Linked DNA regions of Sus scrofa. The protein of the gene in region 1 interacts with the protein of each later gene in a pairwise test. Links are inferred from orthologs where the notes say so. Each region holds a gene or a part of one and is shown in the gene's direction. Other genes may lie near its edges.

Region 1 (3,199 bases):
GAATGTAAATGCAATCTAACAGTTAAGTGCTAGTACATGTGGTTCAGATTATAAACCCAATAGAAGTTAAAAGGAGCCAGCATAGCTGGAGAGGGATTCCTGGAACAGATAGAATGAGCTAGATCTTGAAGAATGTGTTGGATCTGGATAGCAATAGAGGAAGAAAGGAACATTCCAGGTTGGGAGCACAGCCTGGGCAAAGGCTGGAAGGTAGAAATCCGTGGGGCATGCTCTGAGCATGGAGAGAAGATAGGTTGGCTTAGGTTGCACCCTAGGTGTTAGAGGGTTCAGGTAGGAAGCTTAGAGAGGCAAGGTGGGGCTCAATGGCTAAGGGTTGTGAAAGCCAAGGAGTGTAGTAGTTATATTCAGAGAGGGAGGCTCCTGGGCAGAGGGTGGCATGGTACAACTGGATTTGAGGAACAGTAATGCGGTCCCAAGGAACAGGAGATCAGAGCCTGGAAGATCTCCTAGATGACAAAAGGTGCACAAGAAAGGACTGGGGGGACTCAATGAATCACCCACCCCCACAAACATACAACAAATACTACCACTTCCAGTCTTCGGCCAGGAATGGATAAGGAGCTGCTGGGGATCTTGGTGTCCTACAAAGTCAGAGTCAACCTGATGGTGTCCTGTGGCGGGTGAGCAAGGGTGCAGGGTCTGTCTGGGCAGGGGCTGGGGAGCCCCTTCTGTTTTCCTCCCAGTTGGCCTGACCCAATCAATCTGATACCCACCGCTTCTCCTGGACCAGTTGCCCCAAACTGTAAGCTTCATGAACAAGCCACCTTCCCTTCCAGAAACCCATTCTGTGGCTGAGTTGGCTTTACAATCCCTTATCCCCCAGTAAAATTAGGCTGCTACTTTCCATTTCCAGCTGCTAATTTTAGGGTGTCATTCTATCCTCAGCATCCTAGGCGACCTGACAGCCAGGTAAGAGATGGTGGGGAGAGGGGACCAGGGCTAGAAGGGGAGGATGAGATCAAGAGACCCAAAGCGTGACGAGGGAGAATCTAAGGGCATCCCAGCACCAGAAAATTGGGGGAGAGGATCAGGGAGCAGACTCGGAGGGAGATCTGTAACTCCACATTGGGATCCTTGCAGTGATGTCGGCGTGGAGCTGCCCCTGATCCTAATGCACCCAAAGCCATCAAATGGTGAGTGACAAGGTGGGACTTACATGGGCAGTGATCCCGAGGGTTGGGGCCTAAGCAGTGCTGATCTCATGAATCGGAAACTGGCAGTTTAGATAGAGATTGAATAGTAATAGGTAGGTTGGGTGACTAGATTTCAGGGTGCATGTGTGGGTGTGTGTGTTGTGTTTATGGGAGAGAGAGGGTTTAAAAGGGGGAGGGAAGAATAACAAGACATTTCCTCAGGAAACCCAAGAGCCCCTTATCAGCTTCTGCTCCGTATTTCCTTCCCTCTCCATGCTTGCTGCAGAGGCTGCTAGGTAAGAAAATGTGAGGCCTGGAAACTCCGCCCCCTTTCCCCACTGCTACTCTCCATTCTATGAGGATGGAAATGAACAAAGCTCCCCTGGAGTGTTGCTTTCAATAGGTGTACAGTGGAAACATATGGTTTAGCTTCGTGTCATAGTTCAGTGCTTTTCAACACCCTCCTTTTCCTTTCTGCATCCCCCGCCTTCCACCTCCTGCTCTTCTCCCAATCGTCCTTCCCCCTCAGCCCTTCCATTTTTCTTTTTCCTCCTGCACCCCCCACCTCCTCGCATTTACTTCACTTGCCTTTCATTCTTCCATCCTTTCCCTCCTTCCCACACTCCATTCTTATTTCCCCTCCAGCCCTCAAGGGGGACTTTTGTGTTGGGAGACTGGGGAGGGAGTGAGGGAAATAAGCCAGTGTGGTCCATGTGGGGTGGGGCAGCTGAGAAGGGGTGAGGATCTGAGCTGGGAAGCAGGGAAGGGATCACTTCCCTGGGATCAGGAAATGGGAGTGGATGTGGAAGGCGCTCAGACAATTGTTCCTAACCCTCTATTCCCCTTTGCTGCTTCTACCAGCTCTGAGGACATAGTCATCGAGGAGTTTGCTCGGCAGGAGCCCGGTGGCAGAGAAGAGAGCCAGGAGGCTTTGGCGGCTGAGGGGGATGAGGGCAGCTGAGCACCTAGCTTTGTGCCTCTGTGTGGGAGCCCCACTGTAACATTCTAATAAATCAGCTTGTCCAGATGTGCCTGCTGATCTCTTTGGTATTTCTTCCTCCTGGAGGGTAATGGAACTACCTAGAATGAACCACTGCCAACCACCTGCCCCATCAGTGATTAGATTTCCTGTAGCATGCATTTTTCTTCTAAATGATCCCTGACTTCCCTCTGGCAAAGGCCACCCGCCCTCTGTGGCTCCTTTAGCTTTTCTTCCAAGCCCTGGCCATCCCTGCCCCAATGCCCCCATCCAACAATCCCACCCCTGCAATCACCCAAGGCCCCAGCTGCCCCACCTACATGAGAGCCACAGGAGCCGTGGGGAGGGCCCAGGCCTGGGGGCGAGGCTGACAGGTCGACAGAGAGTGCCGTGTGACTTCATGCAGCAAATGCCACCCACCTGCTGCAATACCGTGCACCATGAGACCCACCGCCAAGGCTTCAGCCTGGAAACCATCACACCCAAATACCAGTCCTGAGCAAATCCAAACCATGCAATCCTTAGGGAGCAGAGCGGTGGGGGCCCAGGTTGGGCTTTGAGGATAGGGAGGTGTGATGGTGTGGAATGGAGTGGGAGATTCTCTGGGGAATCAACTTCCTCCTGCCCAGGGTAATGCTTATCCTACTTATCATCACCTGCTTTATGTGCGACAACTTCAAAGGCACCTGCTGGGTGAGCCCACCACTAAGGCATCAGAGTACATTTTTGCCCCCTTTTTTGGTTGACTTACCTGGGGATTCTTCTCAAAGTTATCTATTGTAAGTGTTGAGAAGCTGAGCCAGGATACTTTTCAAGGGCTGTTCTCCACTTCTGGTTCTAAGACTGCCTGGTATTGGGGGTAGAGGAGGGGTAGAGAGTAAGTATCTGACTCTCTTTTGCAGCCAGCCTTTGGAATTGACCTACTAAGATCATGTGCTTGTACTTGGAGGACTAGTGAGTGTTCACTGTCATATCTCATACTAACCCTGTACCTCAATCACTTAGGCCTACTCATCACTAAGGGTAGCACTGCCTCACATTACTTGTGGATAAAGAAAGAAAAACA
Region 2 (3,967 bases), on another chromosome or scaffold:
CCAAGCATATGACTTATGGTGGCTCCCAGTAACTCTGATACTCAGAAGTGATTATTCATAATTTAGAGGAAGAAACAAAAGGTTCCCAACTCCATGGAATAAGGAAAGCAACAGCGCAAAGGAATCCAGTTCCTCAGTCGATCCACCTCTTTCTCACCTGCTCAGCCAGGCCTCTTTCTCTCTTTCGTGGAACTCATATTGCCCTGCTTGATCTGAGGGAAATCAAGATCAGAAGTGTATCCCTGTAAATGGTAAATTTCTTTGCCTTCTTTCCTGGGAGAGTCTAACTTCAGTGCTGGGCACATGAAGAAAGAGAAGGGTTGGTGGGAGACCCCAATACATTTTCTCCCAAGCTCCTGAACCTGGAAGATTAAGAATTAGCCCGGGAAGATCCCTCTGAGCCTTCAAGCAATGTTCAGTCTAGAATAGTGTGGCAGGTAGCCCTGTCTGGGGGTCTGGAGGCCCTAATTCTTCTCGCCCCCCTGACACTTGACTTCAAGCCAAAGTTGCTTAACTCATCCCTCTGTGAACAGCTAACTACACCCTACACTTAAGGGAGCAATAAGCACCCCGACCACTAACGGGGGACCCTCTGTTCACTCCTCAGGGTTGTCCTGATGCTCAGAAGGACGAATGACGCACAGCTGGGAAAGTGCAAATCCCTCCAAAGCCCAGGCTGACACCTTGAGCATCTGATGTTGGACTAAGCGGGGCGGCAAGACTTCCCTTCTCCTACCTTCCTCGCCCATTCAGCGGCCGCGGGCCGGACGCAGAGGAGGGGTTTCGGCTGGAAGAGGGTTGGGCCTGCCGGAGGGGGGGGGGGGCGTCACACGGGGATTCTGAAATGGAGCGTTCCACGATGCACCACAGCCTTTTCTCCGCCCCCCACTCCCAATTCCAGCTTTCAGCCTTGGCTCCAGGATCGACCCTTCTGGGCGTCCACAAACCCTTAGGGGAGTCCGAGACAGGAGGACAGCGAAGAGATAAGCCTCCAGACCGACCTTCCCAAACCGGTGGCGGCCCACAGCAGGACGCACCAGCGTGAGCCTCCTGCCAACCTTGTCCTCAGCCTCTCCACTTGGCCACCCGCTCGCGGGCGCGATTCCCGCCGCGCCTTCGACGCCCCTCCCTCCCGCCCCGCCTCGGCGCGCGTCCCCCGCGCGAGCCCGCGGGGAAGCTGGGCAGCCGTGGCTTGGCGGACCCACAAAGCCCCCGGCCAGGAGCCGAGCCCCGGGCGCGCGCGGAGCGGGGCGTGGCAGGGCGGGGCGCGCAAGCCGGGCCGGGCCGGGGGTGTCGGATGTCACCCCCAGCGCACACCTCGGCCCGGGGACGGAGGAGCGAACCACTGAGATGCGGAGACCTCCCCGGTCCTAGAGCGGAGCAGGAAGTGTCCCAGGGGAGGGAGCCGGAGGGCTTCGGCCTTTCCTTTTCTCCGCGTCCGGCGGGCTCCAGAGGCAGCCAGGCCTGCACGGCGCGCCAACTGGGACGCGGCGCGGCGGTGAGTGCGGCCCGGGCGGCCGAGGCTTCTGCGGCCCGCGCGCCCGCTCGGCGCCTTCCCGCGCGCCCGGCTCCGCGCTCCCAGGTCCCTTGGCTCCCAGCCCCGCGCGCTCCGGCCTCCCTCCCTTCCCCGAGCCGAGAGGTGAATCTTCGGGCAGGGGCATAGACAACACAAATGTTGTTTTTCAGGCGTCTCCATTTGCTCCTACTTCTTCCCTCCTAAGCGGAGCCCTGGTTTTCTGGATGAGCAGGAGACGGGGTCTCGGCTAGCCAGGAACAGTCTGGCCCTTGCAGAGAACCCGCCTCAGGAAGGACACCCGGGAGACCGCGCTGGAAGGATGAGGAGCTGCTGCCTAAGTCTTCCGCCGCAGCAGGAGGGATTTGAGTTAGACGCTGGGAAGGAGTTCCAGGCTGTGAGGTGAGGAGCCGGGAGCTGGTTAAACTGGAGGCGTGCATGGGTGTGGATGTGTAGGGAGGGAAGAGGGAGAGGGATCTGGAGCTAGGAAAAGCTTGCCCCTTTCCCTGGCACAAAATGCCCATCCCCTTCTCTTTCTGCTAATCCAACTCTGTCCTCCTTATAGAGCTGCTTTAAGTGCGCCCCGCCCCCTACGGGATCCTCCAGGGACCTACGTTAGTTCATTCATCAAGCTTCATTCCTGAGCCTCCTATGTGCTAGATGCCAGGGCGACAAAGAGGAACATGGCTTTCTAGTTAGGGACGATGGGCAGAGCTAGGTGTTTTAGAGTGGACACTGAGGACTTAGGGTGGGGGCACGGGTCCCCTAGCCCTGAGAAATCTAGGGCCCTGTAGGTGTGTGATGGCAGGGAAGGTGGAGTGGATAGGGCTGGGATTGGGTTTCAGATGTAGGAGCAAACACTGGAGGAAATCCATTGGTATTGGTGGGGCAAGTTGTAAGGTGTCCAACCAGATACCCTCAGAGCCCTTTCATACCAGTGTGCATTTATCTTTATGTTGGAGAGCAGAGGTCCAGAGGTTTGGGTTTTTCTGACTGCCATTTAGTGGCATTGTTGCTCTTCTAGCCTCACCTGTCTTCCTGTGAAATGGGAAAGAAGCCTCCATTTTGCACGGAACCCTTGGGGGATGGGTGGGGGCATTGAGCTGTTGGAGGTTAAGGGGCTGGCTTGCTGGGGAGCCTTATAAACCAGATGTGGAGAGTAAGTGACCCTGTCCAAGGATTTCAGAGGCCCGATGGTTGGGGAAGAGTGACCCCATTTGCCCTTCATCTTTTCTGGGACCCATAGTCTGGAATAGTGGCTGCTACTCTATGTTGTTGCTCTATATGTATTCACTGGGGAGGTAGAGGGGCCCCTGAAGTCGTGGAGGCTGTGCTCTGAGCACCTCACCTGTGTCCTGCCTAGGAAAGGCTGTGAGTTGTGCATGGTTTTTCTTATTGTAGATTGAAGATGACAAGAGAAGGCAAAGTGGACATCTTTAAGTACTAGTGTATATTGGAGTTCCCATTGTGGTTCAGTGGTTAATGAATCTGACTAGGAACCATGAGGTTGTGGGTTCGATTTCTGGCCTCGCTCAGTGGGTTAAGGATCCGGCGTTGCGGTGAGCTGTGGTGTAGGTCACAGATGCAGCTCGGATCCTGAGTTGCTGTGGCTGTGGTGTAGGCTGGCAGCTGTAGGTCCGATTAGACCCCTAGCCTGGGAACCTCCATATGCCACGGGTTCGGCTCTAGAAAAAGGCAAAAAGACAAAAATAGATAAATAAATAAATAAAAAATACTAGTGTGTATTTAAATGTTATTGTGTACCATTCAGACTAGTGAGTTGTGCAGAGGCTCCTCAGAGAGTACTGACATTTTTTTTAGTCTTTTTAGGGTAGCACTCGTGGCATATGGAAGTTCCCAGGATAGGGGTCTAATTGAAGCTGTAGCTGCCTGCCTACGCCAGATCCACAGCAACACCAGATCCGAGCGACGTCTGAGCGAGGCCGGGGATCGAACCTGCAACCTCACAGTTCTTAGTCGGATTCATTAACCACTGAGCCATGATGGAGACTCCAAGAGTACTGATATTTTTAAATGCATAGTGTTATTTTCTTCTAGTAAACTCAGGGTGTAGCCACCTCTTAAGATTCCCCATCTCTTGTCTGGGTATCTTCTCTGCTATCTGCTTCATTTTCTGCCTATCAGTGCTTACTCCACTGAGCAAGGCCAATTCTTGCTCTGTGTTGTTCCAGCACTGCTAGTTCACTCTAACTACTGCAGGATGAATTTCTCATCTGGATTCACTTTTGAAGGCTTTTCCTGTGCATGTCTGTCTTTGTCTTTCCAGCTCATTTTGTAAAGGTCTCAAGGACAAGGACGGTGACTTCGGCTCCAAAGCCTCAAGGTAGCGGCCTTCTCATCTTGTCCATATCAGGTCCTTTCCAGGAGGACCTGGCCACTGAAGGTACCACACAGTGTTAATTACATCTCTGTCCTGCATGTGGCCCCATTGGT
Region 3 (4,223 bases), on another chromosome or scaffold:
TCCTCATGCCAGCAACCTAAAAAAAAAAAAAAAATCATACTGTAAACTCCCCACAACAGTGTCTTTCTCAGCCTGCTGCCAAAGACCTGTCTGTAGGGCCAGTGTGAGCACAAGACTCCACTACTGGGGCATGGGCTGACCCATCTGAGGGGCCTAGGTGCTAAAAAATAGAAAGATAAGAATGATGACCTATCTTTGGGGTTTCCCCAGCTCCAGGATTCTATTGATGGTAAAAGGGGCAGCGGATGGGAGGTTCCTTTGTTCTAAATTCCATACCTCGGCACTTTCTGAAGCCAAAAGATAGGTGAGGAAGGCTGTTCTTGCTGTCTTGGGCTTCCCTGGGTGGCACCACCTTCCTGAATCTCAGTCCAGGGTCTTGTCCAGGAAGAGACCTGTTTTGGGGAGGAGGGTGGCTGACACTAACCAAACCAAATGACCAATTTATGAGGTGATAATGAGCGATATAAGAGCAAGAGCAAGCACTTCCACCCCTCACTCTGGACTGCCCAGTCTGTGGGCACCTCTGTGGAAAGCAGCCATTAGTGGGGTGCTTGGTTAGAGAGGAACTGGAATCAGACTCCATCTCAAGTGGCTCAGGGAAAAGCTTGATGCATCAGCTACAGGACAGAGGAGCACCTGCCCCCAGATGGGTGGGATGACCCCTTGGGCCAGAACTGCTCCTAGACTTGGATGGCCAAGCCAGCATCATCCCCAGATACTCCCATCCCTCCCTTCGCTGGCTGACCAGGCCCTCTTTGGGCGGGGCAGCCCTTCTTTATATATGCTAATAACCCCCACCCTACCTCCCCACCTCCCCCCCCAGTAGGGACGGTTTTGCCCTGGGCACTCATTGTGGACTGTGAAGTTTCTTTCCAGCTCCCGCTTCTGTTTTTTGTTTTTGTTTTTGTTTTTGTCTTTTTGCTATTTCTTGGGCCGCTCCCGCGGCTTATGGAGGTTCCCAGGCTAGGGGTCGAATCAGAGCTGTAGCCACAGGCCTACGCCAGAGCCACAGCCACGCGGGATCCAAGCCGTGTCTGCAACCTACACCACAGCTCACGGCAACGCCGGATCTTCAACCCACTGAGCAAGGGCAGGGACCTAACCCGCAACCTCATGGTTCCTAGTCGGATTCATTAACCACTGCGCCACGACGGGAACTCCCCAGCTCCCCCTTCTGACCCCTCCTAGGTTCCCCTGGGACCTGGCTTAAGTGGGCAGGGGTTGGGAAGGTCCTTTTGCGCCGAGGGATCATCCACAGGGCAGGATCCTCAGGCAGGCGGGAAGGGCTGGTCTAGGATTGCCAGGCAGCGCCCTCCCAGCGTGCCTACCCGGGCAGCCGCGGCTGCGGGCCCAGGGCCCAGCAGGGGCGTGTCCCCGCTCTCACCTCCCATTGGGCAGGTGGGGCCGCCGGCAGGGGCGTATTATAAATGCAGAGCGGGTGGCTGCGGAGCCAGGCGCCTCGCAGGATGGTGGACAGCGTGTACCGGACCCGCTCCCTGGGGGTGGCGGCTGAAGGGCTCCCGGACCAGTACGCGGACGGAGAGGCGGCGCGCGTGTGGCAGCTGTACATCGGAGACACCCGCAGCCGCACGGCTGAGTACAAGGCTTGGCTGCTCGGACTGCTGCGACAGCACGGCTGCCAGCGAGTCCTCGACGTGGCCTGTGGTACCGGGTGAGCCCGGACGGAAGCCAGGGACCTGGGATGAGCAGGCATCCGGGGGCCAGGGGGAAAGAGGAGCCGGGAGGACACAGGCGACGGGGGACGGGGTCTGCTCCGGCCGGGGTCGCCCGACCGCAGTACCACAGCGGGGCACGTCGGGCAGCCTCCTCCGCCGCTGCCGACCTAGAGCCAGGCAGGGGCGCGACGCCAGGGGCCAGGAATGAGTGTTTACCCAGGCAGAACGAGGAGCAGGGCGAGGCCGACGGCAGGAGGGGGCCGAGGAGACCCAGGGTGAGAGCGAGGGTGTGGGCACTGTGGGTGGAGAAGGCGATCTCGCTGGGGCGGCGCAAGGACCCAGGCTTTGGGGCTTGGAACCCGGCTCCAGGGTCATTCCAGGGTCATTCCCCGGTATGATGGCCTCCGGCAGCGTTAACAGTTAACGCTTGTTTAACATGTGCCCCTGCCAAAGCACTGTACCAGGTGCTTTTGATACATGAGGTTTTAAAATCCTCACAAAACCCCATGAGGTGGGTAGTGATAGCTGTTTACCGTTGTAGGAATTTGGCCTCAGAGAGATAAAGGTGGAGAGGAGATGCAAACCCAGATGGGTTAGGGTCTGGCCTGTGCTCTAAACCCCCATGTTACACTGCCTCCTGTGCTCAAGTTACTTAACATCCAGAAGCCTCAGCTTGCCCCATCTCTCGAATGGGGATAAGACCATCTACCTTACCGGACTGCAATGAGGATTCATGTGCATTTGTAGAATGCCTGACTTGGAATAGGTGCTAAAACACAAAAAGGGTGCTACCTGATGATGAGAATCAGATATGCCAGGTCACTGAGGTCAGTGGAGAGAGCCTGGGGACAGGCAGAAAAATGGACTCTGAGGACCTGAGGAGACAGAAGTGTCCGGCACAGGGCCTCCTCCTTGCCTTCCCTGACCACCCCTCTCTGCCTGTTGGGATTCTGGTCCTGCCCAGGGTGGACTCCATCATGCTAGTGGAAGAAGGCTTCAGTGTGACAAGTGTGGATGCCAGTGACAAGATGCTCAAGTATGCACTTAAAGAGCGCTGGAACCGGCGGCATGAGCCTGCTTTCGACAAGTGGGGTAGGCAGCTCCAGCCAGGTCCCCTCGGCCCAGCCACCAAGGACACTGTTCTCTCTGCTCTGGCTCCTTTAGCTCCTGTGGTGGGGGGTTTTGTTTTCCTCAAGGGGGACAGTAAAATCCCTAAAAAGGGAGGCTTAGGCACAAGAACGAGGTATTGACTATGCTAGTTTTAATTACCTTTATAGTATCTTATCCTTCTCCCCCAAAAGAAACCCATAAGCACAGGGCCCTCCTTCCCCACCACAGCTTCCTATTCCCCTGACCCCTCTTCTCCTTCACCCTCCATGTCCATGATGATCCCCTCCCTCGGGATCCCCTCCCCTGGGGAGGCCCTGTGTGTATCTAGAAGGGGAAAGAGAGGCAAGACTGCACTTGGTGGACACGGGTGCTGCTTGTACTGTGGTACCAGCCTGTTCCCTCTTCCCTTTCCTGGCCCCCAGTCATTGAAGAAGCCAACTGGATGACTCTAGACAAAGATGTGCCCAAGTCACCAATGGGTGGCTTCGATGCTGTCATCTGCCTTGGAAACAGTTTTGCCCACTTGCCAGACTGCAGAGGTGAGAGGGTGTGGCCTTGGGCGTAGACCCTGCTTTGAACCATACCCTTTCCAGACGCAGGGGGAAGGAGAAAGATGGGAGGGAGACTGGTGCCCGGGCCCTGAGCAGACGCAGCCTCTCTACCCTTCCTGGAGTTCAGGGGACCAGAGTGAGCACCGGCTGGCCCTGAAAAACATCACAAGCATGGTGCGGTCAGGGGGCTTGCTGGTCATTGATCATCGAAACTACGACCACATCCTCAGCACAGGCTGTGCACCCCCAGGAAAGAACATCTACTATAAGGTGGGGCCCCTGAGGGAGGGAGGGCCCAGAGTGGGAGGTGGGCTCTCTGGGCCCCACCAGAGTTGCAGAAGCTAACACAGCTGGCACTCCCACCTGCAGAGTGACCTGATCAAGGACATCACGACATCTGTGCTGACAGTGAACAACAAGGCTCACATGGTGACCCTCGATTACACGGTGCAGGTGCCGGGGACTGGCCACAGAGGTTCTCCTGGCTTGAGGTACACTGGCGAGGCAGGGGCTTGGGCAGGGGGCGCTGACACACCAGTCCTGATGGTTGGTCGGGGGCTCTGTTGCAGTAAGTTCCGGCTCTCCTACTACCCTCACTGTCTGGCATCCTTTACGGAGCTGCTACAAACAGCCTTCGGGGGCAAGTGCCAGCACAGTGTCCTAGGAGATTTCAAGCCTTACAAGCCGGGCCAGGCCTACATTCCCTGCTATTTCATCCACGTGCTCAGGAAGACGGACTGAGTGAGGCCTCAGCTCCCACTGCCCTCTGCCCAGGCGCTGCCAGGCTCCGTCTGTGGAGGAGGGGACCAGAAGCCCCACACGGAGCCCAACCCCCAGTGCAGATCCGGGGGTGTGGGAAGGGGTGGGCTGCAGCTGGGGGCAGGGA

The links.
Region 2: the proteins of ARR3 (region 1) and ZNF496 interact in binary tests that used the Homo sapiens proteins (3 or more experiments, as listed by UniProt). The two-hybrid records come from large-scale screens. The link is inferred for Sus scrofa from reciprocal best matches to the Homo sapiens genes ARR3 and ZNF496.
Region 3: the proteins of ARR3 (region 1) and GNMT interact in a two-hybrid assay, tested with the Homo sapiens proteins (2 studies listed by BioGRID and IntAct). The two-hybrid records come from large-scale screens. The link is inferred for Sus scrofa from reciprocal best matches to the Homo sapiens genes ARR3 and GNMT.

What each region holds. Positions count from the first base shown.
Region 1 is NC_010461.5:56,308,327-56,311,525, forward strand, and holds the end of ARR3 (arrestin-C), read left to right. Parts: intron 1-557; coding exon 558-641; intron 642-874; coding exon of another isoform or gene 875-881; exon of another isoform or gene 882-906; coding exon 907-930; intron 931-1,101; coding exon 1,102-1,154; intron 1,155-1,440; coding exon 1,441-1,450; intron 1,451-2,015; coding exon 2,016-2,115; 3' UTR 2,116-2,181; downstream 2,182-3,199. UniProt on the Homo sapiens protein: May play a role in an as yet undefined retina-specific signal transduction. Could bind to photoactivated-phosphorylated red/green opsins.
Region 2 is NC_010444.4:57,052,250-57,056,216, forward strand, and holds the start of ZNF496 (zinc finger protein 496), read left to right. Parts: upstream 1-1,167; 5' UTR 1,168-1,498; intron 1,499-1,686; 5' UTR 1,687-1,915; intron 1,916-3,800; 5' UTR 3,801-3,967. UniProt on the Homo sapiens protein: DNA-binding transcription factor that can both act as an activator and a repressor.
Region 3 is NC_010449.5:38,036,936-38,041,158, forward strand, and holds the start of GNMT (glycine N-methyltransferase), read left to right. Parts: upstream 1-1,423; 5' UTR 1,424-1,466; coding exon 1,467-1,672; intron 1,673-2,640; coding exon 2,641-2,768; intron 2,769-2,916; exon of another isoform or gene 2,917-3,208; coding exon 3,209-3,325; exon of another isoform or gene 3,326-3,464; coding exon 3,465-3,607; intron 3,608-3,706; coding exon 3,707-3,828; intron 3,829-3,906; coding exon 3,907-4,078; 3' UTR 4,079-4,223. UniProt on the Homo sapiens protein: Catalyzes the methylation of glycine by using S-adenosylmethionine (AdoMet) to form N-methylglycine (sarcosine) with the concomitant production of S-adenosylhomocysteine (AdoHcy), a reaction regulated by the binding of 5-methyltetrahydrofolate.